Oreochromis niloticus: one gene and its partner. The protein of the gene in region 1 interacts with the protein of each later gene in a biochemical or structural test. Links are inferred from orthologs where the notes say so. Each region holds a gene or a part of one and is shown on either strand. Other genes may lie near its edges.

Region 1 (15,371 bases):
ATTGAGAATCAGTTCACAGTCACAGGTCTGACAGGAGGACAAAGTTATGAATTTAGAGTAACTGCTAAGAATGGGGCTGGTGTTTGGAGTCCACCTTCAGAAAGTGCAACCATCATTGCACAGGATGTCATTGAAGGACCCACTGCATCAGTTGATCCTAAATTCAAGAGTACTATAGTTGTTCAGGCTGGAGAGCCATTCGTCATTGAAGCTGATTACTCTGGAAAGCCTCTTCCAGCAGTAACATGGTTGAAAGAAGGAAGAGAAATCGACAAAGTCACACCAAGAATGGAGATCAAAACCACTCTCACACATACAACCCTGACTATCAGGGACTGTACACGAGCAGATGGGGGACACTTTCTCTTAAGCCTCACTAACATTGGTGGAACTACTTCTGTCCCAGTTAATTTGAAGGTCCTGGATAGACCTGGTCCTCCTGATGGACAGCTGAAGGTAAAAGTTATCAGTGCAGAGAAATGCAGTCTTCACTGGAATCCCCCCTTAAATGATGGAGGTGCAACTGTTTCTCATTACATCATTGAAAAAAGGGAGACCAGTCGTGTTACATGGACAGGAGTTGAAGCTCATGTTGAAGCTCTCAGTTACAAAGTAACAAAACTGGTACCTGGCAAAGAATATGTATTCAGAATTGCTGCCGTGAACAAATATGGTGTTGGTGAATTTTTGGAATCAGACCCCTTAATTGCACAAAATCCTTTCACACCACCAAGTGCACCTTCTACACCTATAGCTACAGCTGTGACTGGTGACTCTGTAACATTAACATGGGAAAGGCCTGAGACTGATGGAGGTTCAGAGATTGATGGCTTCATTGTGGAGAAACTTGACAAAGAGGGTGTCAGGTGGACTAAATGCAACAAGAGAAGACTAAATGATTTGCGTTTCCGATGTACTGGGCTCACAGAGGGGCATTACTACCAGTTTAGAATACTTGCAGAAAACGCAGCTGGTGTGGGTGCTCCCAGTGATCCAAGTGAATATATAAAAGTATGTGAAGCTACTTACCCGCCTGGTCCACCAACCAACCCCAAAATGACGGACTATTCTAGCAGTACTGTGTCTCTGACTTGGTCAAAACCAATCTATGATGGAGGAGCCACCATCAGTGGATATGTAGTAGAGATGAAAGAAGCAACAGATGATGAGTGGATTACATGCACACAAAGCGCAGGTGTAGAGGACACAAATTACACTGTCAAAAGACTGAGAGAAAATGCAGAGTACAATTTTCGTATTCGCGCAATAAATGCTGCTGGAGTTGGAGACCATGTGGATCTACCTGGGTCTGTGGTTGCAGCCGAAAAAGTAGAGGCACCAGAGATTGAGCTGGACGCTGCCTTGAGGAAGATTGTCAGCGTTCGAGTCTGTTCCACTTTACACCTCTTTGTTACCATCAGAGGAAGGCCAGAGCCTGAGGTTAAATGGTCAAAGGAAGGTGACACCCTCAGTGAGCGAGCTCAGATCGAGGTAACAAGCTCCTACACTGTGCTACTCATTGAAAATGTCAACAGAAATGATACTGGGAAGTATGTGTTGACGGCTTCGAACTGCTGTGGCTCCAAGTCAGCATTCATCAATGTGAAAGTTTTGGACTCTCCCAGCGCACCAACAAACTTGGAGGTAAAGGATGTAAAGAGGGATTCTGTGTCCATCTCCTGGGAGCCACCTTTGATTGATGGAGGAGCAAAGATTTCGCACTACGTTGTAGAGAAGCGAGAGGAGACTAGAAAAGCATTCACAAGCGTCTTTAGCAACTGCATGAGGAATTCATATAAGATCGACAATTTACAGGAAGGATGCTTCTATTATTTTCGTGTCCTGGCTGTGAATGAGTTTGGCACTGGGCTGCCAGCAGAAACCACAGAAGCTATTAAAGTCTCTGAGGTGCCCCTGCCTCCTGGCAAGATCACACTCAACGATGTCACATGCAGTAGTGCAAGACTCTCTTGGGAAAAGCCAGCCCATGATGGAGGAAGCAAAATCACATGTTATATTGTAGAAATGCAAGCTAAGGGAGATGACACATGGACAAAATGTTCAGAGAGTAAAGCGCTCGATGCAATTATTGATGGCCTGACAAAAGGAAAAGAGTACTTCTTTAGAGTGTGTGCAGTGAATGAGAAGGGAAAGAGTGAGCCAAAATGCCTGCTGGCACCTGTGATAGTAAAGGATACCAGTACTGAGCCTATGATCAGTCTGCTGTCCAACACATTCAGTGTGAAGGCAGGAAATGATTTAAAGATCGATGTTCCATTTAAAGGGGTACCACCACCAACAGCAACCTGGAAAAAAGACGGCAATGCACTGAAAGAGACAAGCAGAGTAAATGTGAGCACATCTGACACGTCATCTCAGATCATTATCAAAGATGCAACCAGGATAGATGTTGGTGTTTATGAGGTGACCCTGACCAACTCCGTTGGAACCACCTCTGCTCAAATATTTGTTAATGTTTTTGAAAGGCCTGGTCCTCCAGCAGACCTCAGTGTTGATGATGTCAGTGCTGACTTTGTGTCTCTGTCATGGCAGCCTCCACATTACACTGGTGGATGTCAAATCACTAATTATGTTGTTGAGAAAAGAGATACAGGCAGTACATTATGGCAGAATGTATCAGCTACAGTTGCAAGAACGTCAATCAAAATTTCCCGTCTGACACAAGGCACTGAATACCAGTTTCGTGTTGCTACAGAGAATCGCTATGGAAAGAGCCAGTTCACTGAGTCAGAGCCTGTTGTTGCTCAGTATCCCTTCAAGCCACCTGGCTCACCACCCAATCTTCATGTTGTGCAGGCCTCAAAGTCTGTTATGGTCATTGCTTGGAGCAAACCGGAGAGTGATGGTGGCAGCCCTATTATTGGGTACCACATTGAATGCAAAGATCAAAGCAGTATTCTGTGGAAAAAATTGAACAAAAGCCCAGTGACGGAAAACCAGTATAAGGTGACAAGTGTTGAGGAGGGTCTTATATATGAGTTCCGGGTGTGTGCAGAGAATATGGCAGGTGTTGGACCCTGTAGCAAGCCATCTGACCCTGTAGCAGCTAGAGACCAGTGTGACCCCCCAGGCAACCTCACTGTCACCAATATAACTAACACTTCAGTAACTCTCTTGTGGGACAAGCCAGAATATGATGGTGGAGCTAAAATAACTGGTTACATTGTTGAGCGCAAAGAACTGCCTGATAGTTGCTGGCTTAAGTGTAACTTCACAAACTTATTGGACACCTTCTTTGAAGTGACTGGCCTCACAGAGGGTGAACAGTACAACTTTCGTGTTATTGCAAAGAATGCAGCGGAGCTCTTCAGTCCACCCTCTGAAACAACCGGACCTGTCACAGCACAGCACAATGTAGAGCCACCCAAAATTATCTTGGAAGACAAATTTCAACAGGTGGTGGTTGTCAAAGCAGGAGACCTCCTAAGAATAGAAGCTGTCATCTCAGGCCGCCCCAACCCTACAGTGTTTTGGCTGAAGAATGGTAGAAATATTGGCACCACAGGACGAGTTGAAATAACTGCAACAAAAACGCATACCTCTCTGCTTATCAGAGAAACTGTTAGGAAAGACTCTGGGCAGTATACTCTTACTCTCCAGAATACAGGGGGTACCACATCTAAGGCTATCACCTGCAAAGTACTAGACAGGCCTGGTCCACCTGCTGGACCCCTCGAAGTTTCTGGACTTTCAGCAGAAAAGTGCACCCTCTCATGGGGAACTCCTCATGAGACTGGTGGGGCGGAGATCATGTACTACATTGTTGAGAAATGTGAAACCAGCCGTGTTGCCTGGACCCTTGTGTATGGTGACATGATGTCAACTACTTGCAAGATAACCAAACTTCTCAAAGGAAACGAATACCTGTTTAGGGTGAGGGCAGTCAATAAATATGGTGAGGGTGAGACTTTGGAAAGTGACCCAGTCAAGGCCATGGATCCTTTTACCATCCCATCTTCTCCAACAGATGTTGAGGTCACAAGTGCAACCAATGAAGCAATGACTATTTGCTGGAAGACGCCCGCCTCTGATGGTGGCAGCCGCATTAGCGGTTACATTGTAGAGAAAAGGGAGAAGCAGGGTATCCGTTGGGTCAGGGTCAATAAGAAGCCAGTCTATGACCTACGAGTCAAAGCCTCTGGTCTGCATCCGGGATCTGAGTATGAATTCAGAGTCTTTGCTGAGAATGCTGCTGGGCTAAGTGAACCAAGTTTGCCATGTCCACTCACCTTGGCAGAGGATCCAAAGTTTCTTCCTTCCCCTCCAGTAAAGCCGACTATAATTGATTCATCCAGATCTTCAATCACTCTGTCATGGAACAAACCGGTGTTTGACGGTGGAGCGGCAGTTACAGGGTACAAAGTTGAATTCAGAAAATCAACAGAAGAAGACTGGACTGTTGCTGTTCAGAACACAGATAGGACAGAGTTTACAGTAACTGGACTCACATCGGGGACAGCATATGTTTTTACTGTCAGATCCATAAATAAAGTTGGTATTAGTGAGCCTAGCCCAGAAACAGACCCCGAAGTAGCTACAGAGCGAGAGGAGAAGCCCGAGATTCACATTAACCCTGAGATGAGAAAGACTCTGCCTGTTAAATGTGGCAGCTCCTTCACATTGATGGTGCCTTTCACAGGCAAACCTGTTCCCAGTGTGTCATGGGGGAAAGCAGATGTTGATCTGCGAGTCAGAGGAATGATCAACACCACGAGCTCTGCCACCTCTATCACAGTGGAACGAGCAACACGTGATGACTCTGGCAAATATACTGTCAAACTGCAAAATGCTGCTGGAGCTGCCTCTTTGACCCTAAATGTGAGGGTTTTAGATTCACCTGGTCCCCCGGCTCATATAATAGTTAAAGATGTGACTAAGAACTCTGCCACTGTTACCTGGGACATTCCTGAGAATGAGGGAGGGTCTCCCGTGAAGAACTACCTTGTAGACATACGAGACATCAGCAGAACGGGATGGATAAGACTTACTGACAAGTGTCGCCGATTGTCTTACAAGGTGTCCGACCTGGAGGAGGGAGGAATCTATTTCTTTAGAGTCACAGGAGAAAATGAGTACGGGATTGGGGTTCCAGCTGAGACCAGAGAGGGAACAAAAATGACAGGTAACACTTAAGATTAAACACACCATCAGCTACAAGAATTCTTTGGCAAAAATTCATGTTAAAAGTTCACCTGCACACTTTTACTTGCTGTTTTACCTCTGTTTTTGCTTTAGATACAACAGACTGGGAGACAAATCCAGGAGCCTAGCTTGCCCCACGTTAAGATAATCATCTCCTGAAATTTGGAGAAGATATTCATCGGGTTTTTTTGTTTTCTTTTTTTTTTTATAAAAATAGAATACATTCAATTTTGTTTTAAGATGTTCTTTGTCGATTGAGTTCAAATCAAAACATATTTTGTAAAACTTTGAAAAAAAACCCAAAGGCAATAAAAAAAAGTTATTATTAATAGCTCATGCTGGTGAACAACCATTCTGATGAATTATGATGTATCAGTTTCTAACTTTATGGTTCAAATGTCTTTATTTATGTAAAGGAAAACATTTTCAGGCAGCACACAAAAATTCAGAGACTCTGGAATTCTGCATTGCTTAACGTTATCCCTGCTGGGATAAAACACATGCAGATATGTTTTTGTCTTTTGCCTGACATGAGAGTCAGAGTATAACGAGTTGACAAGTTAGTCTCATGTCCCCGTACTTTTCTGTCTTTTGTTTGGGGAAGTAACCTGATCATATTTATGCCAAAGATTTTTTTTTTCTTTCTGAACATGTCGGACAAACATATATGTATGCTTTGGGTTGACTTGAAAAATTCTCTCACCTATGGTATTTATGCTGCTGACAAAAGACAAGACAATATTACTTTATAAGAGGTAGGAAAACCAGCAAGAACACTTTTAATCCCAAAACCATAGTTGTTTGTTTTTTATTTTACTATTTCTGGAGGAGTTTAGAAATGGTTAAAAAAAAGAACTGACACATTAAAAGAAATTCTGTTCTGTATTAAAAATACAAAAACAAATAAAAAAAAAACATGAAAAAAGTAGATTTGTCCAGGTCAGGGTATACACCAAAGACGGAGGAGAAGAAAACATAGAGGTAAATTCAGATTCACGATATGAAGGACCTATGTTTTATCATCTGAGAAGGGGTCCCCTTCACCGAAGAAGCAAAAACACAAAGAAAGGAGACAACAGAATAAGCATCCTCAAGCCCCATCTCCTGAACTGAAAACACATGAAAACATGGATAAATGTGCTTATTTATTTCTGATATTGTCACAATTTCTTCTAGTCAGCAGATTTGACATGCAATCCTGTTGTGTCCAGACAGATGACAATACAGTGGCTTGCAAAATTATAATTAATATTAATATTCGGCCCCCTTGAACTTTTCCACATTTTGTCACATTACAGCCACGAACATGAATCAATTTTATTGGAATTCCACATGAAAGACCAATACAAAGTGGTGTACACGTGAGAAGTAGAATGAAAATCATACATGATTCCAAACATTTTTTACAAATAAATAACTGAAAAGTGGGGTGTGCGTAATTATTCAGCCCCCTTTGGTCTGAGTGCAGTCAGTTGCCCATAGACATTGCCTGATGACTGCTAATGACTAAATAGAGTGCACCTGTGTGTAATCTATTGTCAGTACAAATACAGCTGCTCTGTGACGGCCTCAGAGGTTGTCTAAGAGAATATTGGGAGCAACAACACCATGAAGTCCAAAGAACACACCACACAGGTCAAGGATAAAGTTATTGAGAAATTTAAAGCAGGCTTAGGCTACAAAAAGATTTCCCAAGCCTTGAACATCCCGCGGAGCACTGTTCAAGCGATCATTCAGAAATGGAAGGAGTATGGCACAACTGTAAACCTACCAAGACAAGGCCGTCCACCTAAACTCACAGGCCGAACAAGGAGAGCGCTGATCAGAAATGCAGCCAAGAGGCCCATGGTGACTCTGGACGAGCTGCAGAGATCTACAGCTCAGGTGGGGGAATCTGTCCATAGGAGAACTATTAGTCGTGCACAGCACAAAGTTGGCCTTTATGGAAGAGTGGCAAGAAGAGAGCCATAGTTAACAGAAAACCATAAGCAGTTTGCCACAAGCCATGTGGGGGACACAGCAAACATGTGGAAGAAGGTGCTCTGGTCAGATGAGACCAAAATGGAACTTTTTGGCCAAAATGCAAAACGCTATGTGTGGCGGAAAACTAACACTGCACATCACTCTGAACACACCATCCCCACTGTCAAATATGGTGGTGGCAGCATCATGCTCTGGGGGTGCTTCTCTTCAGCAGGGACAGGGAAGCTGGTCAGAGCTGATGGGAAGATGGATGGAGCCAAATACAGGGCAATCTTGGAAGAAAACCTCTTGGAGTCTGCAAAAGACTTGAGACTGGGGCAGAGGTTCACCTTCCAGCAAGACAACGACCCTAAACATAAAGCCAGGGCAACAATGGAATGGTTTAAAACAAAACATATCCATGTGTTAGAATGGCCCAGTCAAAGTCCAGATCTAAATCCAATCGAGAATCTGTGGCAAGATCTGAAAACTGCTGTTCACAAACGCTGTCCATCTAATCTGACTGAGCTGGCGCTGTTTTGCAAAGAAGAATGGGCAAGGATTTCAGTCTCTAGATGTGCAAAGCTGGTAGAGACATACCCTAAAAGACTGGCAGCTGTAATTGCAGCAAAAGGTGGTTCTACAAAGTATTGACTCAGGGGGCTGAATAATTACGCACACCCCACTTTGCAGTTATTTATTTGTAAAAAATGTTTGGAATCATGTATGATTTTCGTTCCACTTCTCACGTGTACACCACTTTGTATTGGTCTTTCACGTGGAATTCCAATAAAATTGATTCATGTTTGTGGCTGTAATGTGACAAAATGTGGAAGAGTTCAAGAGGGCCGAATACTTTTGCAAGCCACTGTAAGCCAGCTAAACAACAACAGTCGACTATAAGCTAATATTATGGTACAGTCTAAGTGTTAAGTTTCTGATCTCCCTTGGTTGACTAAAACAAGTTTGTCATATTATAGCAGCCACCATAGTTACAATTATGCACTTGGATTGGGAGGGGTAAGAAAACAGAATTCATTTGATTGCAATCTACAGACATCTAGTGGTGAGATTTTACACACTCTTACTTTAAAGATCACCAATTAACCTAACCCCACTGATTGCTGCATGTCTTTGGACTGTGAGAAGATAGTAGTAGTCTCCCTCATACTGAATACTCATTCAGTTTCAGATAAGTCTCGGTTTATATTAATTTAAGCAACTTTCAAAATCTACTGAAAATAAATAGTGATGTTTTTTGCAAATTAATCTTTTTGATATCTTTGCTTAAATACACTTAAAATAATAATTTAAACAACTACAAAGAGAATAAATTAAGCCTTTGTGAGCTAAAGAAACAATTTATTTATTTATTTTTAAATAATACAATAGGGTTGAATGGATTACTATTATTTTTAGATTATGACATAAATGTGTCCAGTAAATACTCAGGACCATAGAAATGTTGTGCAATAATATTTTATGTTTTTAACATATGTTTGTAATGTTTGTTTTGTATATATGATCATGGGGTTGCAAGTATGATTAATTGGGTTGCAGATCAGTGATAGTATTAGAAGGGGGGTTTTTTTCAGAAAAAGATGTTGTGTAATTTAATGGATTATAAAACTCACGAATAACCGTAGTTATACAAATAAAGAAAGGAAACCTTATTTTGTCTTCTTTGGTAATATGTGGAACTGGGTTGGACTGGTTAGAGTGATACAATCTACTGTGATACTAGTGATTCTATCGCTAGAGACCCCACAATAATAGGACTCGAAGGGCTTTATTTTTATGCTACGATAAAAATAAAAGCTACTCCTTGTACTTGAGTACATTTCACTGCTCACGTCTTAATTAATAAAGTGTTTTTAGTATCTTTATTTCATCAGCGACCTTTACCCACTTCCAGTCGGTCTCCTCTTTTATTTTGTTATCTCAACGAAAATCAAGTAATGATGACAAAATTGTGAACAGGAACCAAACTGAGTTTTTCTTTTTCAAACTTTCCAAAGAAAAAAAGGCCACTTTTATTTAAAGGTTTTGCATATACGTCACTATAGAAACCGCTACGTTACACCCGACAAGGGGTGGACGCTTCTAGTCAGAAACCGGAAGTAAGCGAAGCAGAAAACATTAGTCGTTCAGTAGTTTTGCGGGTTACTGTTTACTACAGCAAAGTACAATTTGGAGTTGAAAACTTCGACATGGGAACTACGGCGAGTCAACTTTCGAAAGAGTCGCTCTCAGAATATCAGGTAAGTCCCGAAAGCAAAGTCTCCACAGGCAAACTTTACCTATTTTCTTTATGGACGAGTGGAAGTGTTTTTTACGCCCTGTAATAACGTTAAAGGAAGAGCGTAATAGCTATGTTAGCCTGACGTTTCAAATGAGAAATAAAATGATAAGCGTCCTGGTGCTCAAATAACCAATATTATTTACATTTGTAGTTTATGTAATTCGTAGTGATTATATGTAACGTCTGTGGAAATACTATTAAAAACAAGTTACGGTCACTAGCCTAGTAATAACCAATACTGTTGCTCAGACTCTTTAAAAACATCCGTTTGAGGGTAAAAGTTACAAATTTATGTTAATAAGTGATTGTTGTCTTTGCACTGATGCTTACATTTACTTTGCCTTTGTTTTGGAAGAAGAAAGAAGCGCTTATTGTTAAAATAAGCGCTCATGTGTCATCTTTTTATCTCCCGTTTGAACACTTCAGTAATTAAAATCAGGTACGCACTGAGTGGGTCCGGGCTGTCTTGTCTTTGTTTGGTTGTTTATTCAAAGCTCCGTTGAATACTGTTTGTTATCGTTTAATGTACCACTTTTTATATTCTTTTATTTTTACTTATTTTTTTTGTTAAATTAAGAGGAAGATGCCTGTTTATTTGAACAAGAAGCTCTTCAACTTCTCTATAAAAATATTTAAAGGACTAATCCTTACATATATTTTTAGGAGCTGACCTTCCTGACAAAACAAGAAATTCTTCTGTAAGTGACAAGCTGCAAGTCATCATACTAACAAAAACATTTTGTCTTCTGCTGCTTTGTTGTAATGTGTGATATATTTTTCTCTTTTTTTTTGCAGTGCTCACAAGAGATTCACAGAACTGCTTGAGAAACATGAAAAAGACCAAATAGATGCCAGAGTACCAATGGGCAAGATTATCACTCTGCCTGAGCTCAAGGTGAAAAGATTTTAACAAAACATGTGCATTACAGTGTTTTTTTGTTTTGTTTTTTTCGTTAATGCTTGACTTCTATGTTTATGGGATTATATTGTAATTCATGCTGTGAAGGAAGTGCTTCAGTGGCTGGTAATCTGTTCTGACCTTTGTACTCATTCCTGTTACAGTCCAACCCTTTCAAGGAAAGAATCTGCCGGGTGTTCTCTACCTCTGAACAAAAAGATGGAAGCCTCACTTTTGAGGACTTCCTGGATCTTCTGAGTGCCTTCAGCGACTCTGCTACTCTGGAAATCAAATCCCACTATGCATTCCGCATATTTGGTAAAAAGAAAAAAAAGTTGATTAAGAAGTGATATAGTTATTTTTGCATGCAAAGATGTCAGTCTACGTAATGCTAACTAATCTGCTGCTTTCAGACTTTGATGATGATGGAACCCTTGACTGTGCTGATCTGGAGAAGCTGGTTAACTGCTTAACTGGTGAGACAAATGATGCAAAACTTTCCTCCACGGAAATGAAGCAGCTCATCAGCAACGTGAGTTTACTGAGTTTGTCTTTATAGTTGTAAGGGGTGGTTATAAACTGCGTGTGGGGTGGTATACTGATGTGTCAGTAAGCCTAACAATGTGTTTCTTTCCCGTGTCTGCATGTTGTTTAGATTCTTGAAGAGTCAGACATCGACAAGGACGGAACTGTGAACCTCTCAGAGTTTCAGCACGTCATTTCAAGGTCACCAGATTTTGTCAGGTAACTAGAAATCCAGCTGCTCCAAATACCAATAATTATTTGCATTTATAAGTGTCCAATTGATTCTCATTTGATTTATCCACAGTTCCTTCAAGATTGTGCTCTGAAGACTTCCAGTGGACCTTGGAGATGCATGCACCTTTTTAATTTTAGTGTATAATTTTAAATCAGAACAGTTTTAATTACTTGCCTTAAATTATATTTACCTGTGGATTTTGCTGCCTTAACTGTTTTATGTCATTTGTCAAATATAAACCCTTTTTAAACATCTGTTTGAAGAAAAAATAAAAGTTTCACCAAAAAGTATTGAGTTGAGTTTTTATAGAGAAAAAAAATGAACAAATAAATTTAGTTAATTCTTTGTGTTTGTAGGAGAAATTTACAACTGTCGTCCAAAGTTCACTGTGCTTAACAAGTGCATTTTGTGCTATTTTCAGCACAAGCTACTTCCTCCTTTACAGCTGCAGCAAATGTGTTCCATGTCCCGCACACCACATCAAGCACACGCATCTGCTCAGCCCTGAAAAACTCCACACGCTGCGGCTCATCTGAACTAGTTACGGTTTGATGTCCAAGCTGGCCGTATTCCCCTGGAAAGGTAATAAAGGCAAAGAAGCCTAAAATCTCGGCATTCACTTTGATTTGAATGATGCTGCTGTGAGAATTTCACTTAGATGTAACACGTTTCTAAAACCAAAACTCACCCCATCCCCAAGTATAGAGGTCACCAGTGGCTGAAAAGAAGAAATTGTGACATAATTAGTTTATTTGCTAGGAAATGTGCATCCCTGTAAAACAACTGCCAAAAGACATTCCTTACTTGTTACTGCAGCTGTGTGGCGGGAACCACAGCTTACTGTTTGGATTTCACATGAAGGAGAGACATCCAGCAGAGCAGGGAACGCCTGGATTGATATGAATACATCTTCATGCTCCTCTTCCTCCTTTAGCTTTTCATCAGCTGGTGTACTGGTATCATAGCACAATTCTCCTGTTTGATAAAGTCAGTGGTTCAAAATGGATGTAAAAACTGCCTCTTCAATATAACTCTTTAAAGCAGTGCACATTTCAGGACAGACCTGTTTGCTGACTACTTTTCTGCTGAGATTTCCTCAGACCTCGGGAAGGAAGTCCAAGCTGGCCGCTCTCATTCCAGCCCCACACATAAAGGTCACCCCCATCTAAGAACAAAAACGATCCTCTTCAAATCCTTTTCAAACCGAGTGTAACTTGTCCAAATCTTTATTTGACATTTACCACTAATGCAAGCTGAGTGCCAGCCTCCTGTAGCCACACGGGTCATGGACATCCCCCAGAGTGCCTCCACTACTCTGGGCTCCTCCTCAGAGGTGAGCACTCCATGCCCCAGCTGACCATGGCTGTTACATAAACACATGCACGCATAGGAAGATTAACTTATGCTTGTTCGTTTGTTTGTTGATTGTTGTTTATGCATGAAACTGCTGCTTCTCATATGTTCAATAAAGATATATGTGTAAGTGGCTCCACCTGCCCAGTCCCCAGCTGTACACTGCTCCAGTGGCAGTAAGAAGAACGGCATGCTCTGCACCCAGTGCTAGGCTCCTGGCTTTCAGGTGTCCTGGTAAGGTGCAGTAGAGGGGAGGCTTTAAGGCAATGTAACCCCCAGGGACCAATGGCAAATTCACATCTACAAAAAATAAATAAAAAGTAATATTGAGACTCTGTAATTTCATACATCATTATTAATGTCTGTCTAGCCAGATAAGATATTAGCATACACATTACCAGAGCCCTCTGCGTGGGTTTTTATATCCATGCTCCATGATGGACTCTTCTCCCTCTTCTGCAGATCCCAGGTCTCAATCCTGTCTGGGAAGGCCAGGGTCAAGTGCGATTCACTGATGAATACATCTTTACAACCATAGCTCTCTATTTTAGAAATACCACAGTCCTCACTGGAGACCGATTCCCCAAAGCCTGCCAGGCTCAGGCAGCTGTCTCCTGACAGAAACAGAAAACAACAACGTAAGAGCTAAGCTAAAGCAATAGATGTATTAAAGACATGTTATTCCTCAGAACTCAGAGCGATGTCTTTGATACACTCACCATCTAAATGTAAAGATGCTCTTCGACTCCAGCTCACTCTGATCTGACTTGTCTTCAAGCAGCATCCACTTTTATCCACGTGACTGCTGAGCTCTGCTGGGTGAGTTACTTTAACTTGGTGGAGCGCGCTGCTACTTTCTCCTCTGCCTGACTTTTCCTGGACACGTATCTGTCCAAAGGCATTGAAGCCGAAACCAAACCAGCGCATCTGAACACCGTGCCGCTCAGCGGAAGAATCCGCAAACTTACCTGCGGCTGCGCTTGTTTTCGTACTGCAGGAGCACAAGCGGCGAGAGATGATGACGAGTGGCGAGGGAGGAGCATATGGTTTAAATCGTCTTTAAAGAGATAGACACCAAGTTCATGTTTATTGACAGTATTTAAGATGGGCTTTTTTGATACAGGTTGTTATGTATTACTGGCCTGGCTCACTTAGGTAGCAGATCAGCTGGACTGTACATGATCACTGAACTAAATTGAGTTTTAACCCCTGCCATAAATTATAAATTGTGCATCACAAACTTTGATAGGACAAAGTTGTAGAATGGCCATTTTAATAATATAAAAATACTCGGAGCAGTCAGTGGCCCCCCCCCCCCAATCCTCCTAGCAGCTGTACCTATGATGTCAATTTCAACATCCTATCTTTGTTCTCAGTTATTGCATTCACAATATTTTCTGAAAACTGAGATTCAAACTCAGAGATTTTTAGTAGATACACTTAAGGTATCAATTTGAAACTCCTACATTGCTTCATTCTAAAGTTATCACATTCAAAATGTTGGGTATCCTTATTGCCTGCCCAGCAGGGTGATGACAATGCCTTTCATGGTTGAGGGATAAACATAGTTGGGCATCCCAGCACTAAAGCACCATTATAAAGTACATCTAGCAAGGCTGGATATCAGATAAAGTAAACAGAGAAGTGAGGATTGGTCATTTTTATTTATTTATTTATTTTTATGTGTTCACTTAAAACGTATTAAAACAACAAAGCACACAGGGAATGTGTTGGACTGTCAATAATAGTGCTAACAAACATTTAAACAAAAAGTACATTTTATAGTGTAAATGAAATGTTTCTATTTTTGCTGAAAATAAAATAAAATATTGAGAAAAGTAGTGTGCACAATAAAAATAAGAACGTATTTGTGGGACTAATGACAGTCAAATTAAATATTTGCACATATATAGGAATGATCATTTTTAGTGAAAATACATGGAGGAGAAATGTTGGTCTCTGGGTGGAATATGCACTTTTGCCAGACTTTAGCAAGCATACAATCAACGTTACACAGCAGTCAAAAATCATTTGTGTGCTGTTGGTTCTTCCATTTGATACCATTCTTCACCACATCCCTTATTGCTTTTAATCATTTTTTGTTAAGACATGAGCCCATTTCCTGCAAAAATGAAATTACTTCACTGGTCCAATATAACGTTCGAAGTTCTGAAACACTGTCAGGTGGCACATTCACACACTGCACTTTGTGTTCAGGGTTCAGTTCCTGAGCTCTTCTTCTTTTCTTCCCTGCTTCTGATGATGCCGTACTCCATTGCTTTATCCAGGCAGTTCTGAGCTATCTTCGAGACAGCATCTGGCGTGCCCTCTCCTCCCTTTGCAAGGACGGAAAGAATCTCCAGAGCTTCGCTCTCTATGAGTTTCTCAGCCAGACTCTTCTCTGCCAGGATCATGTTCTGAACTATGACCACTCCACGATGACGTAGGTCAGGTATTTCACTGAGCAGCAAAGCCTGCACAATTTCTAGCCAGTGGGTTGTCTGAGAAGATAACAGAAGTCATGTGAGCAAAAATAGAGTAAAATAAATAAATAAATAATGGTAGCGACACGACTGGAGTGCTTTTCTTACAGTTCCAGGGATGCGAGCGCAGAGTTCTGGCTGTTCGGCTGTCAGCATGGCCAAGGTTCCTGCAGCAGCTTTCCGTAGCCTCTCGTCATCCTCTCCGCTGTAAAGCACGAGCAGCTTCAGGCGATCATTTCCTGTGGCCAGGTAGAGCTTCTGCACCTAAGGGTGCACCACACAGCCGCTACTGTCAGTTCAACCGGTATTCATGTATTCAAAGACTTGTTAATAAATTATGCCTTACCTCTGTATTTAAAACCAAGTTGCACATGCACTCTGTGGCAGAAGCTCGTACGAGGTCATGCTCCTCGAACATGTAACCTTCAATTTTAGGTACAGCTTTCTCCT
Region 2 (15,571 bases), on another chromosome or scaffold:
AAGAGCCATGAATTGCTTTCCCCTCCAGTTGTGCACTGTCTCGAGAGTTAATTTTATTGCTTTAGATTTTTGGGGGCTGTTCCTGCTGTTTTATCTATCCACGTATCATCCTCTTATTTTTTTAGCTTAGTTTTCAATGAGCACATTACATTTAACTTTAACATTTGTATCACAAGAAGTGAATTGTTTTGAAATAAAGGTTAAGTGAAAGCTGCCTCGATCACATTGAGCACCTCTGTTTTAATTGAATGAATATGAGATCATTTGTTTCCTCTTACTATGCTGCCCACAGTCTGAGCTCTGGGTCTGTTGTGTCTTGTGTTTCAGTAAAAGCTTGTCTCAAAATATTTAGACTGCTTTCAGAAACTCCCTGAACTCTGTCGGTTGGAGTCAAGAACGTTTATCTTTGACTGACAGATGAAGGCATTAGATCCTGACTTGCAGCAGCTTGAGAAGATTTTTATCAAGATTGTAGCTACATACTGGATTCCTCGCCACAGGAAGTCTCACTAATATTTTATTACTAAGACTGTAAAACATGGAACCACAGAACAAGTGTAAGATGCAAGATCCAGGTTATTTAATGATGATGCCCCCCAAAAACTTATTCTATAAGTTTTAAGACAAAACATAATGCAAAAAACACTTCAGCTTATTTTGTCCAAAACTAACAAATGACAAATGAACACATAAAAGAAAATATAATTGCAAATCAAATATAAGCGTTATTAGGATTTTTTATGTTGCGTTATTACAACCACAACGGACAAGACCAGGGCACGGAAAAGGAAAAAAGAAAGAAAGGGAAGTTGGGGAGAAAGTTAACAGAAAGAGAGTTATGAGAGTAATGTTATGTTATGTTTCTAAAACATTTACACACCTGGTTTATCATATTCAGATTTCCCAGTCTGTGAAATGTCTTCAGGTATCTCCATATTGGTGTTTAAGTCTGGTCTTTGGCTCACGAACAAACAGAAATGTAGCTGTTTGTGTTACTGTCATGCTGAAATTCCTGCCCATACATGCTGCTAAAAAGCACCCATAACATGATGCTACCACCCTCGTGCTTGTCTATAGCAACCTTATAGCTAGCTGATCTGGTCTGGTGTTTACCAGATAAACAGTTTGGAGCAGATTGGTAACCTGTCCAAAACGTGCACCGTGTCTCTCACCATTAGACAGCCCTGTAATGCTGAATTATGGATGGATGGAAAATTGGGACTTTAACACATAATCCACTAGAAAACCTTGAAAATAATTACAGTTAATGTCTGTTTTTAGTAGTAATTACAAATCTATGATACACAGATACATCTGGCTTGGTTATTTTTGTTTTATGTGCTGTATACATGCAGATAAGACAAACTATATTTTCACACCACATCAGAAAGGAATCAAGATGGGCTATTTATTTCCTTGAAACCATTTTAGCAATTTTCTGGATCATAAAGAAGCAGATTGTTCCCTCCATTTATAGTCGTTCGGTCAATATTTCTGTCAGAAGACTGCTTTCAAAATGAGATTGTCATGAGAAAGGCCCGTTGACTAAAAAAATCGTAGTGAAAAGTATATCCATTAGAGAAATATGTGTGTGTAATTGTGTGTTTTAAAGTTTTGATCTCGCACACTGTGATAAAAACTTGTGTGTATGTGTGTGTCCATGTGTGTTATTTGTCTTTTCACTCATTGACTCAACCGTCATAGCTGCAGAGAACCTGTGGACATCTGCCCGAAGCCTGGGGTGATGTCCAGGCCTTCATTTTTCTCAGACAATGAGTGGAATCATTTCCCCTCGCGCAGACCTCTCCATCATTATTGACATAGAATTATTGATCAAGACCTCAGCCGGTAAATTACAACCTATTAGTCAAACCCTTTTGCCCAGATCTGAAAAAAACAAAGAGCAAGCGGGTTGATTGAGTGAGATTATGGAGAAGTTTGATGGTCTGCAAGCCAGTTTATACTGCTGACTGGTGTTATATATTCTGGATATTCCTGTTTAGGAGATTTATTTGTTGAATGCAGATTAACCAGCAGACAAATACAAACTGGCCCAGCCCATTCCTCAAGGTGCTGCTGCCGCTGAATCAAAATTAGTTCAAGGAAGCCGAGGTTCCAGGTGAAATCTACAACACTAAAGTTAGAGAGCACACCAGCCTCACTTAATTTTTTTCTTCTTCTTCTTCTTTTTTTTTTTTTGATGTTTTGCCTCAGGCCAATTCTACTAAAGAGAAGTAATTTGGCTTATCTTATCCCAGAGACCTAGCAGCTGCTTTTTATTCTTTTTTGTGAGGTCTTTTTTCTCATTTAGTCCAACAAAGATTGTCCTCATAGATTGACCTTCTCTGTGCCTGCAGGCCGTTGCCCTCATGCCAGTAACTAGATAACACACTCTATCAGAGATTTGAGAAAATCATTGGGAAAGCAGTGGGGCTGATAGTGGCATCAATCCTAACCTGACACCAGGCTGGGTCAACCATTTATCTCTCCACACCGCCTCTGGTCACAACAGCGGCCATCTTGCTCTGCTACATCCTTCTTTAATAACCTTGGCCATGTCTCTTTACAGACTGAGAGGATAAGGCGTAGCGGCACTCCTCGTGCCTCGTCTGATCGCCGCCGCTTTGTTTGCATTTAAAACCGGTGAAAATCACATTCAAACACATTCACCGTGTACATTTCAGATCGACAAGATTCTCCAGTACAAGCGCTCCAACACACACGCGCACGCACAAGGAAGACGCATCTAACAAGAGGGCCAAAGCTCACAAACTCGTTAGCATAGCAGTTAATGGTGACTCCGCTGTCATTAATTCCCCACGGTGTTTGACTTAAATGCTTCTATATTGGTGAAGTGAGCGCTTCCCAGAGGCCTCCTAGAGCTGAGATCATTGTTTTTCACTTATTAACAATGAACTTATGATCAGAGCGCCACAAGGCTCCTAAAAATGCCCCATAGGATCATTACAGTCCCTGTGTGTGTACCTATGTGTGTGTGTGTTTGATGCCAATGAGGCCGGCAGAGCAGCAGTGTGTCCGAGGCTCATCTTGGTGCTCTGTGGCGCAGCCAGGATGAGTGGGGAGGTTAAATGGGGCGTCATCAATCTCAATGAAGTGCAATTATTTTCTCACTTATTAATCATTGCCGGCTAATAGCTAGTGGCAAAGCGGAGCCAACCATTTGTCAAACTTAGCAGATTTCTGTAATTTTGTTTCCCCGTTTCCCTCTAATGTTTGTGTAGACTTTGGCAGATATCTATGGAGGGCTGCAATAAGTCTGTGCCTCCAAGTATCTATCTCCTACCTGCACTGCAGAACTAACCGAACTTCTCGCTGTTTCTCCATGTGAGTGATTCTCTCTATTTCAGAGCTGAGTGACTATTTCATGGTCTGTGGCAGAGCAGAATGAAAAGCTTTATTTGCAGGGCGCAGCGTGGACACCCTATTGATGGTTAACTACACTCTCATCCTTACAAACTTCACTCATTACGCCGCACTGTATATTGTTTGTTTCTTGTTCCCCTATAATATATGAAAGTCTTTACACTTAATTAGATGTTGCATGCATTCTGAAACATTTTCCATGCTGAGAAATAGCACAGCCCTATGGCAATCACAAATGTAACTTGACATTTATACAAAAGGTCATTATGTGCATTTTTATCTGGCAACTCCTAATTTAAGAGTGACTTAATACTAGCTTGAAAAGCATTGTTTTACTGCACTCTCTGGTTGCACCTCTGACTATATCTAGTGATGTCACGGCATACTGACACACCCCTAAAGTGCTTTTGCATCACTGCACAGAATCAAGCAGCTGCTTTAATCACTGTATTATGATTTGTTATATAACCAGGACCTGCCCAACAAGTACTCCAACTCAAGTTTTTGAAACAACATTAAGTGCCCACACGTTACCAAAGGTGTGGGCTCAAAATCTTATTGATTAGGTTTAGGACAAGATTTTGGTTTTATTAAATATATTTACAACCTTTTACATCCCTGTATCCTGAAACATGTTAAAGAGCCCTGAATACCTCATTTCCATCAATGGGAGCAAGTGCTTATGCTGATACTGGTGCTGGCCAGCTCTATCTTGGTGCCTTTTAAGAATCAGCCAAAATTTTGAGAAGACGGATAGAAAATAATGAAAGCAAACAGAATCGAAGGGGTTTCATTTGTCATGACTCCTGAGTTTTGTACATAGTAGGCGTTTCCTGGGTAGTTTCTTTATGATTATATTCTGGGCTCAGTTTTTAGGATTTATAGTCTTTAGTTTTTGCTATTTTTTAAATCCATTTTCTGCAACTTTTGCTTGTAGTTCTCCCTTATGTCAAGTTGCTGCATTTGTGTCAGTGTCCTATCTCTGTGTTTTGTTGCTTCCTGTTTTACTTGCTTTACTTTGTCCTCAGTTTTAATTCCTGTGTTTTTTAATTTCCTTGATTTCCAGCCATGTCTCATTACCCTGCTGTGTCCACTACCATGATAGATAGATAGATAGATAGATAGATAGATAGATAGATAGATAGATAGATAGATAGATAGATAGATAGATAGATAGATAGATAGATAGATAGATAGATAGATAGATAGATAGATAGATAGATAGATAGATGGATGGATGTTTGGACTGGCCCTCACCAAACAGCAGAGAGACAATGTTTGAGCCTAAATGTCATCTTAGTGTAACATGTAGGACCTTAAGAGACATATTTCACTCCAGAGCTCATAGAGGGCCAAATAAAGCCAAAAGCAAGAACATCTTCACAAGACAGCGTTATTCTGTTTGCTGATATACCCAAATGCTGTAAAGTGATAAGATGTTTGTGGGTCTTCAAGTAGCCATAAAATCCTTTTTTTAAAGCCCTTAAAGGGAAACTTTCTCTTCAGCTTGAGTCAAGTCAAATATATTATATAAAATATAGGGTATAAGTCAAATACTTCACTTCTCAGTAGTTAAAGGCCCTTAAAATCTAATCCATCAACTTCCCTTTGCCTTAGATGAAAATACACTTTTTTAGGATTATTTCTGGTGAGAGCTTCATGTATTTATATTTTTGTTCTGTCACTTCTCACAGATCTAAGGTGGGAATGGTTGTGTTGGAAACACGTGATGTCACATATTTTCTTAAGCCAATCAGAATTTAACAGTATAGCAAAAAATGAAATCAGTATATGATGACAGCTGCAGGGCTTGTTGTATTGTGTTGCCAGGGAAACCCTACTGTCTGTCGAGGATGAGTGAACAACACAACTGTTCCTTTGAAGGACATATTGCAACTCTTAACTATTAACATTTACTAAGTTGTGTTTATTGATTCAATAAATTACATTTAAAAAAATAACAAGACTTCAAACCAAATTTTATCAGATAAATTAAGCTTATTCAGAGGTTCCTAGAATATCCATGTGATAAAAGGCATAATGTCAATTTACGCCCAGCAAATTCTAATTTTGGATAACTAAATAACTTGGATACTTTGATTTTGATCTCTCGACATTTTGGATTACATATGCCGTAATTTTCCCTAGATCGTGTATTTTATATTGTATGCAAGATCTTTGATTTCAATGAAACTTCCTGGTTAAATAAAGGTAATAAAGGTGAGACAGGGTATAAAATCAGCTGTCTAAAATGTTGTTTAATGGTAAGTTACTCATCATCATTTTTACACACTATATAATACATGATTGAAGACTACAGGCAATATGGAAAAAGCAATTACCTTCACCAGTGTGAGCTAAAAATTGTTTATGAATGTGTAATAATTAGTTTTAATTCTTTAATATGATAGGGGACATTTAGCGTAGTGGCACATTACATTAGCTCTATGTTGAAGATAAGTCCTACAGAAATTATTGCATTCTATGACTGCTGGGTATCAAGTCCCTTTCCAGAATGGACTTGCTCGTTTCAGCTTAGTTTTCATTGTTTAGAATAAAGCATATGTAGTTTTTCTTTTGCAGTGTTTTATTGTTATTTTAGTCTATTTTTTTATTAATGAGATAAAGGCTGACATCTATCTGCAAGCGTTTGTTTTATGTTTTATTAGACAACATGTACTTAAATTTATCTGTGAAGTATGTAGGTTTATGTGAATTCATCAGCAGGAGAGGGAAGAGGTATACAAACAAGAACTAATTCAATAAAAAATACATTTTCACTGCATTCAATTGTGTGTAATTTGCCTCAGTGATGTAACCTCGACATTCATTCCATTTGATTCCAGTGTGACTGAGAGACACGGTGATGGATAAATGGCTGGTGTGATCTGTAATTCGCCCGCAGCTAAACGATGAAGAGCAGACAGATGTGTTTAAAGAAATCACACAGCCCCGTGGATGTGTTTGGTTTGGCAGCATTGTCACTAAAACCCTGCTGAGTGAAACTTCAACCACGGTCAATGTGAGACATCTAGTGGCAGAAAAGGAAAAGCACACTTTTTCGGGGGGGGGGGGCGCAATCATTTAAACAGACTCTTCCCTGAAGACTAACATTGTAATGTAACCTGTTTACCCTGAGCAGCAGAGAGCTCAGTGCCTTTTCTGATGGTATTTAATTAGTCACAGCAGCTCTAAAAGTTATAATAGCAGAATTTGTATTGTTTTAAATATGGAAATGTTGGCGTTATTTGACAGTTAAAGTGTGTAATTGTAAAACTACAATTACTGTTCCTTCCTGGACTTTTTTTTCCTGTCATCTTAGCTTTATGCTGTGCTAAAGCTACAACAGCCTATAGGCAAAACAAGAGCACAATGGCAAAAAAAAAAAAAGGATTCACCGTGGCTCTTTCCCCTTATCTTCTTTTACTTTTCGTAACAGCACTGAATATTTCCAATGGGAGCCTTTTTCATGTCTGCCTTCACTCCTCTAATAACATCATTGTCATTGTGCTACATTAGCCCCTTCTCCAGTGATAAAATGTTAAAATCATTAAAGCTCAGTGATTTAAGACTCGTCTCACCTTGAAATAGCCCTGCAGGAAATTCATGTCTTCAAATAAAGTGTAGACGAATTTCCCCCGAGATAAGAATGCTCTTTCCTTATTTAAAAGCAATGGCTATGTTTTGTGTATTTGTTAACCCTTTGTCACATACATATAAATACTGTATGTTCATATTTGTACCTCATGTTCTGACAAACAAGTTTTGTTTGGGGTCATCGTTGATTTCAGCATCTTATTCAACTTCTTTCAGCTACTTCATTCTGGAGTTACCACAGTTATCATCTCCCTCCATTTCACCCTATTTTGTCACACCAACCCTGTCCCAGGTATTCAAAATCATCCTCCTTCACCTTACCTCACATCTTGACTGCTACACGTCTCCCTCTCATTCACACACATGTAATCTGTCTTGCTTCTCCTGATTTTCATTCCTCTTCTCCTCAAAACATACCTCCAACTCTCTAGGCTCTCTTCCACCTACTCCTTACTCTCACTACAGGTTGTTATGTTCTCTGCAGACATCATAGTCCACAGAGACTCCTGCTGACTTCATCTGTCAATATAACATAAGTCTTTGTTGACTAATTTACTACAGAGAAAATAAAGCACTTTCTCTTTCTAGAGGTCATAAATATCTGCTATGTATTTGTTAATAAAGGACAAAAGTATTTTATGGCACAAGTATAAAATGCAGGCTATTCATACTTTACCCGCATGTACTGTAATATCAAGTGCCTACCACAAGAGGGCCTCCTTGAAACATAAATGGATGACACTTCCACGTCTGAACAGCAGACCACCTACCCGGATAGCTTTATTGTAAACTAATTCAATCACTACTAATAATAGTCACTTCTAGCGTTTGTCCAGAGGATTTACAAAGTCACATGGTCATGTGCTCAGACTTTTACCTGTTTCACAACCACTTTGTCACCGTGGGGCCTAATCCATGCGGGTCAGAAGATTAATGGGCAAAACCGATGCAATTAGTTTGCAGGATTATGAAATACTTCCAACTCACAGCTCCGACAAAACAATGTAGTCATTATGGAGATTGATGTCCTAAAGGGGTGTTTTTGTTCTGGATTGCGATCTCTAATTTCCCGCATTTTCATCATTTTCGGGAAAAAGCTGATAAATAAATCACCTATTCATTTTTACCTTCGCTCCAGATGACAGGTTATTGACTCACAGAGACGTTTGGGCGGTTTTGTTTGGGGGTTGTTTTCAAAGGGACTCCTCCCTTTCTGAAGTACACAACTCCACATATGGTCATCGTGTCCCCGCCCCACTACCCCAGGCTCCGAGTATCGTCTCTCCGCCCAGTGCGTGAGTCTGGCCTGGAAGATAACAGTGGAAACTGGGCAGGGTTTGTCTACACATGAAGGCACCCTGACTGCGTGCGTGGTGTGCTTTCTCTTTTCAGCGCTGAGAAGCCGTTGTGCTGATCGGAGGATTTAAAGTGAGCTTAAGTTGGACTCGGTGTGACATTTGTGGATCTCGTGGGCGTTGCTGCACTAACAGTGGCTGTGTTGCTCAACTTTGAGAAGTATGTGAATTTCTTGCGACGGCTGAGACGGAATGCGCGGATTTGGTGGCTTTTCCTCCTGTGTTTTCTCTTCGGATATCGTCGTGACTTCGGTCCGCCTGCAGCCCCCATTCGCGTGTTTTGTAAGCGTGCAATCAACGGCAGTCATGCAGCATGATGTGGAGCTGCACCTCTGCTCCTAACAGACTGTTTACCTGTGTGGAAGGAGCAGAGTTGCACGTCGTGCCTTTGCAGAGGCTCCATGGGTAACCGCCGTGCGTAACGCTGGCTCTCCATGGAGGACTGGTGGAGAAGCCACTCATCGAAATCCCCACTTTAAAAAGACACTTGAAGAAAGATGAATCAAGACCAGGACGGGATCTCTTTAGCGGTACCTTCCTTTGGTGCTTGCCCCGGCAGAGAGAACCTCAGCGGGGAAAATACAAGCGTCAACAGCAGTGGTGGTGGTGGTGTTGGTGGTGCCTGTGGAATCCCCGCAGCTGGGACTTTTTGGCATGATTCGGGGACTGGAGGTGGGGGACTTAGCCCGATCTCCGGGAGCTGCCCCTTGGACACCGGAGGGTTGCTGTCCACCGGAAAGTCTTGCAAAAGCAGGCCGGTAACAGTGGCCTATGTGGTGAACGGAGAGGCCAGCCAACAGAATAATCATGAGAGCATGGCCCTGCAGTGTCTGAAGGACGCTTGCGATTCTGTGGGCAGCAAGCTAGAGACAGTGAACTTTGGTAAACTGGATTTCGGGGAGACCGCCGTGCTGGACAGGTTCTACAACGCAGGTGAGTCAAGTGAAGAAAGGCTTATAAATCCCACATCCACCCACAACAAGCTTCCCAAACCGCCCTCAGCAAGTGAGAAGACAAACATTTATAAAAGTGATTACTACGATTATGACCTCCTAGATGAGGTCATTTTTAGCCTTAACGGCAGCCTGTTGGGATTTTAGATCAATCCTCTAAATTGATTTTTAGGCTTAATCTTTGCTCTCCATTATAATGATTAAGCCGCAGTGGACCTCACTAAAGGTCAGTGACCCATGAATGCCATTTACTTCATGAAAGAGTAGCACAAGAACCTCTCCCCTAAATTATTTTCAGGGGCTCGAAAGTAGCGTTTACTGCATCACCACTGTTGTTGGAAACTATGCCTGCAGGACAGGTTGCTCTGGGCTCCCTAAATACATCTCACTGCTCTGCATGTCATGGCTTGATGTTGCTTCCTTTAGATCACAGTGGTATGTACACTTCACTGAACAAAGCTGGAACTCATTGAACAACAGTTGCTGAGAAGTTGTATCATTTGCTCCACTAATGTGGGGATTATTGCTAGAGTTCCCCCTCCTATGGCTAGTTTCCCCTCTTCCATTGTGGGGTTCGGCATTGTGCTTCAGTGTCACGGTTTGAGCCATGAGCCTGGTCTTTCCACTGGAATCTGCTAACAGAGAAGCAAACTTGAATCCCTTGATTGAAAGCACTTTCCACCTCTAATTCATGTTGTATATGTAGCAGTTGGCTCCAAATACTACTGGAAAGGTTTGGTTAAGCCATGAAAAACTCTTCAACTATAATGCACATGACTGGTCAGAGTGTTTGAGAGCCAGAAACAGCAGCCAGTGTTTGCATTTCATTAAGATTGTATCAGTACGTGTTCAGCAGATATTGTAAATATAAAACAGTGTGACACGTCAAAGCCTTTCAAAGAGTGGCGTCTCTGCAAATGATGCTAACTTTATTTTGGGGGTTTTTTGTTTGTTTTTGAGGGGGGTTACTTGCAAACTCTGGTAGCCTAAAGACACAATCATTGCTTCCCTCATTATTAATATTGTAAAAAGAGTTTACCTGACAGGAGCTATAAAAGAATCAACATGTATAAAAGTCAATATGCAGGATGCATTTTTTTTCCTTATTATAAAAGACCTAGAAAATTCCTTTAAAAAAAATCTGTTTTATTAATGGTAAATGTATCAGTGTTAACAGTAACAAAACTAAGATTAAGTCAATAGGGGGAAAAAATATATTTTTTAAAACAAAAGCATGAATTCTAAGGTCACAATGGTTAGCAGTCACTAATAAAAGGTCCATGTATTTTCTTAACCACTCATCCAGCTAAGCTCACAGGGAGCTGAAGCCAATCCCGGCTGACATTTGGCGAGAGGCGGGTAACTGGTCAGGTCACAATTCCACTCCCATTTGTACTTAAATCCACACCTATGACCAGTTTAGACCCAACAAGTTCCCAACCAGTTCAACCCAACAATAATATGTTTGCACTGTAGAAGGACACTCCAAGCTAAGGGAGAGTGTGTTAAACAATGCATTACCCAGCCGCCTCACAAATCTTAGCAACAACTGTCAAAAAGTAATGAAAATCAGGACACAAGGTCAGCAGCCCCACCAAGGTGCTTATGAACATTTTATAATTGTGCAAAATTTAGAGTTAAACCGTAACAAATTCTTAATACTATGCAAAAAGTAGCATAGAAAAAGTATATGTAATAACATTTTTATCCAACTATAGCAATGTAGTGATTATAAACTGATTATAAATAGAGCTGAATTAACCATATTTAGTTGCAGTAACAGCACTTATATTGCCAACATCAGAGCCTACTAGTGAAGGCAGACAGGTGTATTGTTTGTTCCATGCTCGACGTGCTTCTTGCTTCTCATATTATTGGCTGCACAAACACATCATGTTCCCAGTGTTTTGTTTGGTCTTTTTCCTCTGAGCTACCGTGGAATTTTCTCATAATACACAGGGGAGGGCTGTGGCATTTTCCCAGACACACATTGCTATATCTGTTCACTCACACACCACTTCTTCATTATCCTCCTGCAGACGAAAGACCAGAAACAAAAAACCTGAGTGAGCTTGTTGGTTTCTGTCATTTGGAAGCGTGATGTGTCTGCTTCAGATACAATGAAAAGCTGTTCCTGACTGTCCTTACATGTCCTCCCCGCATGATGCTGTGGACAAAGAGGGTATTTGGCTGAAAGATGGCAGAGCCTGATTGTGAAACCCTCAGGACATGAAACACAGGAAGTGTAGATGCAAAAGTTTGGCAACAGTGATAGCTAACCATATCTTATCACTGGGAATTTTATTCACTACAGCCCAGTTATTCATGGAGTCAAAATTCAGATTTGAAGTCATATTTGTGTAGCTGTGCCTGTCTTACTTATACCACTGATCACATGATATTAACCAACATAAGTGGGGGGAGGAAAAAAAAAACAGATGTGAACAGATTACATATCTACCTATCAGTGTTTTCAAAATTTAGATACTTACCGTATGTGTGGATTTTGTCACGGAACTATACAAGATTATAGTGGTCCTTGTTCTGCTCTGCATCCGCAGTAAATTTCACAGCAGATCTCCAAAGCAGAGCAAGGCCATTTGCAGTGCAAGAGAGTGGAGTTGGAGTGCATCCAACTGTGTGACAGAAGCCTCTCTGGAGAAGCAACTAATTAATATTGAGTTCAACCTGGCCAACGAGCCAGTCTGTAGGTAAAACACGGGAGGGAAAGGGCCAAGGTTGGTTTGCCAGCAGTGATCGGACTTTCAAAATAAGAGAGAGCACGTTGTCTGCTAGTAAACTGATCACAGATTATGTTGTTTTCTCAGTTGGATACAAAAATAAACATTAAAAAATTCCAAATACACATGTGAAATCTTACAAACTAACATCTGTGAAGAAACGCTGAATTACATTTTCAAAAAATCATTTGTACTTGTATTCATATATACATATACAGTTTACAGGCACTCGGTATGATGTTTTATTGACCAGCTTTCTAAAACCTAAAAATAATATACTTAAAATCCAGAAAAAATCTGACCCTTTGAGGACCTTGAACTCACGAGTCCCATCTATGACTGCTAACGATGACCTCATTAGCCAGCTGCAGTCATTTTGTTCCCAAACAAAACAGTTCATAAAAAGTGGGCTGGTAGGATAACAATATGTCATTTTTCTTTATAAGATGTCAATTTTGAGCCAAGTGTGAAATTAAGCCGTGAATGTCATTTAATCCAAAATAAAAAATACAGCATGTTAGCGGATAATTAGTTAAAGCCATCTATTTCTAAAAATTAAAAAATGTGTTAATTATGAAAAACATGCTGATTACAAATGACAATTATTAGAACTAATAATTACAGAAAGGACAAAATCACAGAAGTAAAATATGAAGCATAAATTCATACTTCATCATCCTGCTGATTTTGATATATATTGAAACTTTTGTTATTATAACTATTGTAAAAATCACCCCAAAAAAAGAAGCAGATATGCCCTAACTGCCATGTTTCTCATCCCACTGCCTCTCCTGAGTAGCTGTGCTGTAGATGGGTGGATATGAGTTGAATATTCAGATTTTCAGTTGAATGGTCGAATTTAGACGATTAATTCTATCCAAACAAAGGTCCACATTTCTGTCAGCTAATCGAGGCTGTTGGAAATTGAATAACTTATATAAAATGTCTTAAATTAAAAACACACTCTTTATCAACTGTATCTTTTTTGTTTTCCCAGTTCCCGGTTGTTGTTTTTAAATATATGCTTTCCCTTAGCCCATGAGGTAATCTTCATCTGTCTTTTTAACAGCATGTGGTATATCAGGCTTCAGGGAAGGTGTTTCCTTTATTTATTTATTTTTTGTGATTAGCCCGATTCTCAGCCCCCAGTCTGGAATACCAGCCTCAGTGATGGCCCATCTTATACTTGAGACACAAAGTCATCAGGATTCAGTGCTTGAGTTGTTTCTCTCTTGATATCTTTGGCAGAGGGTGAAGTGAAAGAAGCTTTAGCTACGGACTCTGAGGCTGTTCACCCTCAGACAAGTTTTCTGTTTCAGAAGGTAGTTCAACTTAAACTCTGAGTCAGTCAACAGGGTGACAAACTCTGAGAATGCCACTTGCTCGCTGGCAGGTTTTCTTCTGTTTCTCTCTGACTCTTCCTCCCCTCCCGTACGTGAACCATGTGCTGATGCTCCGATTCATTTCTTCATACATAAAGTCGCTATCAAAGCTCAGAGGGAAGCAAATTCTTTAACAGGAGTTTCCATTTTTACAAACACTGAAATGTCGGTTAGATGTTTCTTCATCATTCTTTGTAAATTACACGACTGCTTTTATAATCAATAAGTACAGAGACAGCGATCATATTGCCGATTAATTATGAGAATCCTGTAGCACTTATAGTCTCCGTGTTTCTGACTCATTTGCTGTGTTGTAATCAGTCACACTGATGGAAAAATGACTGTCACGGTTGGACCTTGGTTGTGATGTGAATATCTGAGTAAAGTTAAGGCTGAAATGACTAAAACAAAACTAAATGTATTTTAAAGTTACTTTTTAAATGCTGGCTTCAGACGGTCTGACTGTGAGTAAAATTGTTTCAGATTCAGTCATTAAATTATGTCAAACAACAAATTCAAAATCTGAACTTGGACATGTTTTCTACTGAAAATCGCCTAAATCAGTCTCAGAACCAGATCAAACCAAAGATATCTGTAAAAGATCAGCAAACATTCTTGATTTAAAATCTTTCAACCTTCTAAAACAATACTAAAATATCTTAAATCTATGAGACCAGAGTCTACAAAAGCTGAGACATTTCTTATAACATGTTTGTAAAGATTTATCGGTAAGACATTCATTAAAAAATGTGAATTTGTAATATTAGGCTGCCAGGAACGGAGTAAAACACCTCTGCTTCAGCTATAACGGAGGCATTATCTATGAGTGATGGCTCATATTAGATAAAATTAGAAATGGTTAAATTGGGGAACATTAAAGCAGAGGTTTTCTGTAAATCTCATTAAGCATTTTTATCCGGTAATGGCAGAAATAATGAAATTCTTTATGAGAAATCAGGTTTAAACTTCCCTGAATTACTGAGAAAATGCAGTTGCCATAGACTGTTGCAAAAACAGTTTTTATTTAATAAAGACTGACTTGCGGGTGGATCGTCTATTGCTATCTGGATAACAAATATCACATGTCCATCACTAAACTGTGTCTGTGCTTCTCCATATCTCCAGTTTCAGTCACATACCTTTTCTGTGTGTCAAATTACACCTGAATTATTAGATTTAATATTTAAATGACAAAATGAGGATTTCAGTTTCATCCAATAAAAAAATCAAATTGGGTAAAGGACTATCACAGACAATATAAACAAATATTTTATATCAAATTCTTACTCATGTATAACGTTGGCAGAGTGGCCCAAGCTGATTAAAATTCCCGTTTTTCAAATAAAAATCGCGGCCCATGCTGACACGTGTTCATATTCCTCGGTCCGCTTGAATAAAATGAAGTCTCTGCTCTTTATTTACCTGTTGCCATGGTGATTCATGGTGTCCGAGCTCCATGGATGATGGCTTTCTTTCTCTACTCACGCACATGCTAAACTCAAGGTGAACGTCCTCCCATCATCTGTTTTGGAATGAGAAACTCAGTTTATGTTTTTAACTCAGAGTTTGTTGAGCAGCGACTGCGTGGCAGCAATGCGACGACTTCTCTGGATGCGTCCTGTTTCGAAACACTTTTTACAGTGTTGAAAGTGCAGCAGTTAATACTGTAGTATTTGCCAAGGATCAAATGGCACACCTGTTTGTGGGTTTGTGTGTTGGGTCATAGCTGTGGTATGCAGAGCTTTATCTCTCTTGTTGATCATTATACTAAACCACTGTGTCATTTATAGGGTGCACATTGAATTTGTGAACAATTCCTGAGCACTTTAAAAGCTGCTCTACCTGAGCCTGAGTGTTTGCTTACCAATCCATTACACACACACACACACACACACACACACACACACACACACACACACACACACACACACACACACACACACACAGCACCACTCTGCCAACGCAGATCTAGCTCACAAATTGTTTTCATGCTGCCCAGTTGTACAATGTAGTAGTATTGAGAAGGCTAAGAGGAGTATACAATGGAGCTCCAAGGTGAATGAGGTTGAAAAAAAACGAAAGTACCTAAGCATCTACAAATTATAGACTTTATGTCAAAGGTAGATATAACCACATTTGGATGAGAAGGTGCAATACTA

Evidence for each region.
Region 2: the proteins of cib1 (region 1) and map3k5 form a complex in vitro, tested with the Homo sapiens proteins (2 studies listed by BioGRID and IntAct). The link is inferred for Oreochromis niloticus from reciprocal best matches to the Homo sapiens genes CIB1 and MAP3K5.

The regions. Positions count from the first base shown.
Region 1 is NC_031972.2:57,580,411-57,595,781, forward strand, and holds cib1 (calcium and integrin-binding protein 1), read left to right. Parts: upstream 1-8,974; 5' UTR 8,975-9,335; coding exon 9,336-9,386; intron 9,387-10,090; coding exon 10,091-10,125; intron 10,126-10,222; coding exon 10,223-10,322; intron 10,323-10,489; coding exon 10,490-10,643; intron 10,644-10,738; coding exon 10,739-10,857; intron 10,858-10,980; coding exon 10,981-11,069; intron 11,070-11,151; exon of another isoform or gene 11,152-11,154; coding exon 11,155-11,176; 3' UTR 11,177-11,375; downstream 11,376-15,371. Other genes in the region: titin, read left to right, coding at 1-5,143, 5,257-5,291; rccd1 (RCC1 domain-containing protein 1), read right to left, coding at 11,478-11,659, 11,774-11,803, 11,890-12,060, 12,149-12,250, 12,327-12,448, 12,579-12,738, 12,837-13,052, 13,158-13,365; unc45a (protein unc-45 homolog A), read right to left, coding at 14,652-14,939, 15,030-15,185, 15,268-15,371. UniProt on the Homo sapiens protein: Calcium-binding protein that plays a role in the regulation of numerous cellular processes, such as cell differentiation, cell division, cell proliferation, cell migration, thrombosis, angiogenesis, cardiac hypertrophy and apoptosis.
Region 2 is NC_031980.2:17,202,885-17,218,455, forward strand, and holds the start of map3k5 (mitogen-activated protein kinase kinase kinase 5), read left to right. Parts: upstream 1-8,270; 5' UTR 8,271-8,833; coding exon 8,834-9,269; intron 9,270-15,571. UniProt on the Homo sapiens protein: Serine/threonine kinase which acts as an essential component of the MAP kinase signal transduction pathway. Plays an important role in the cascades of cellular responses evoked by changes in the environment.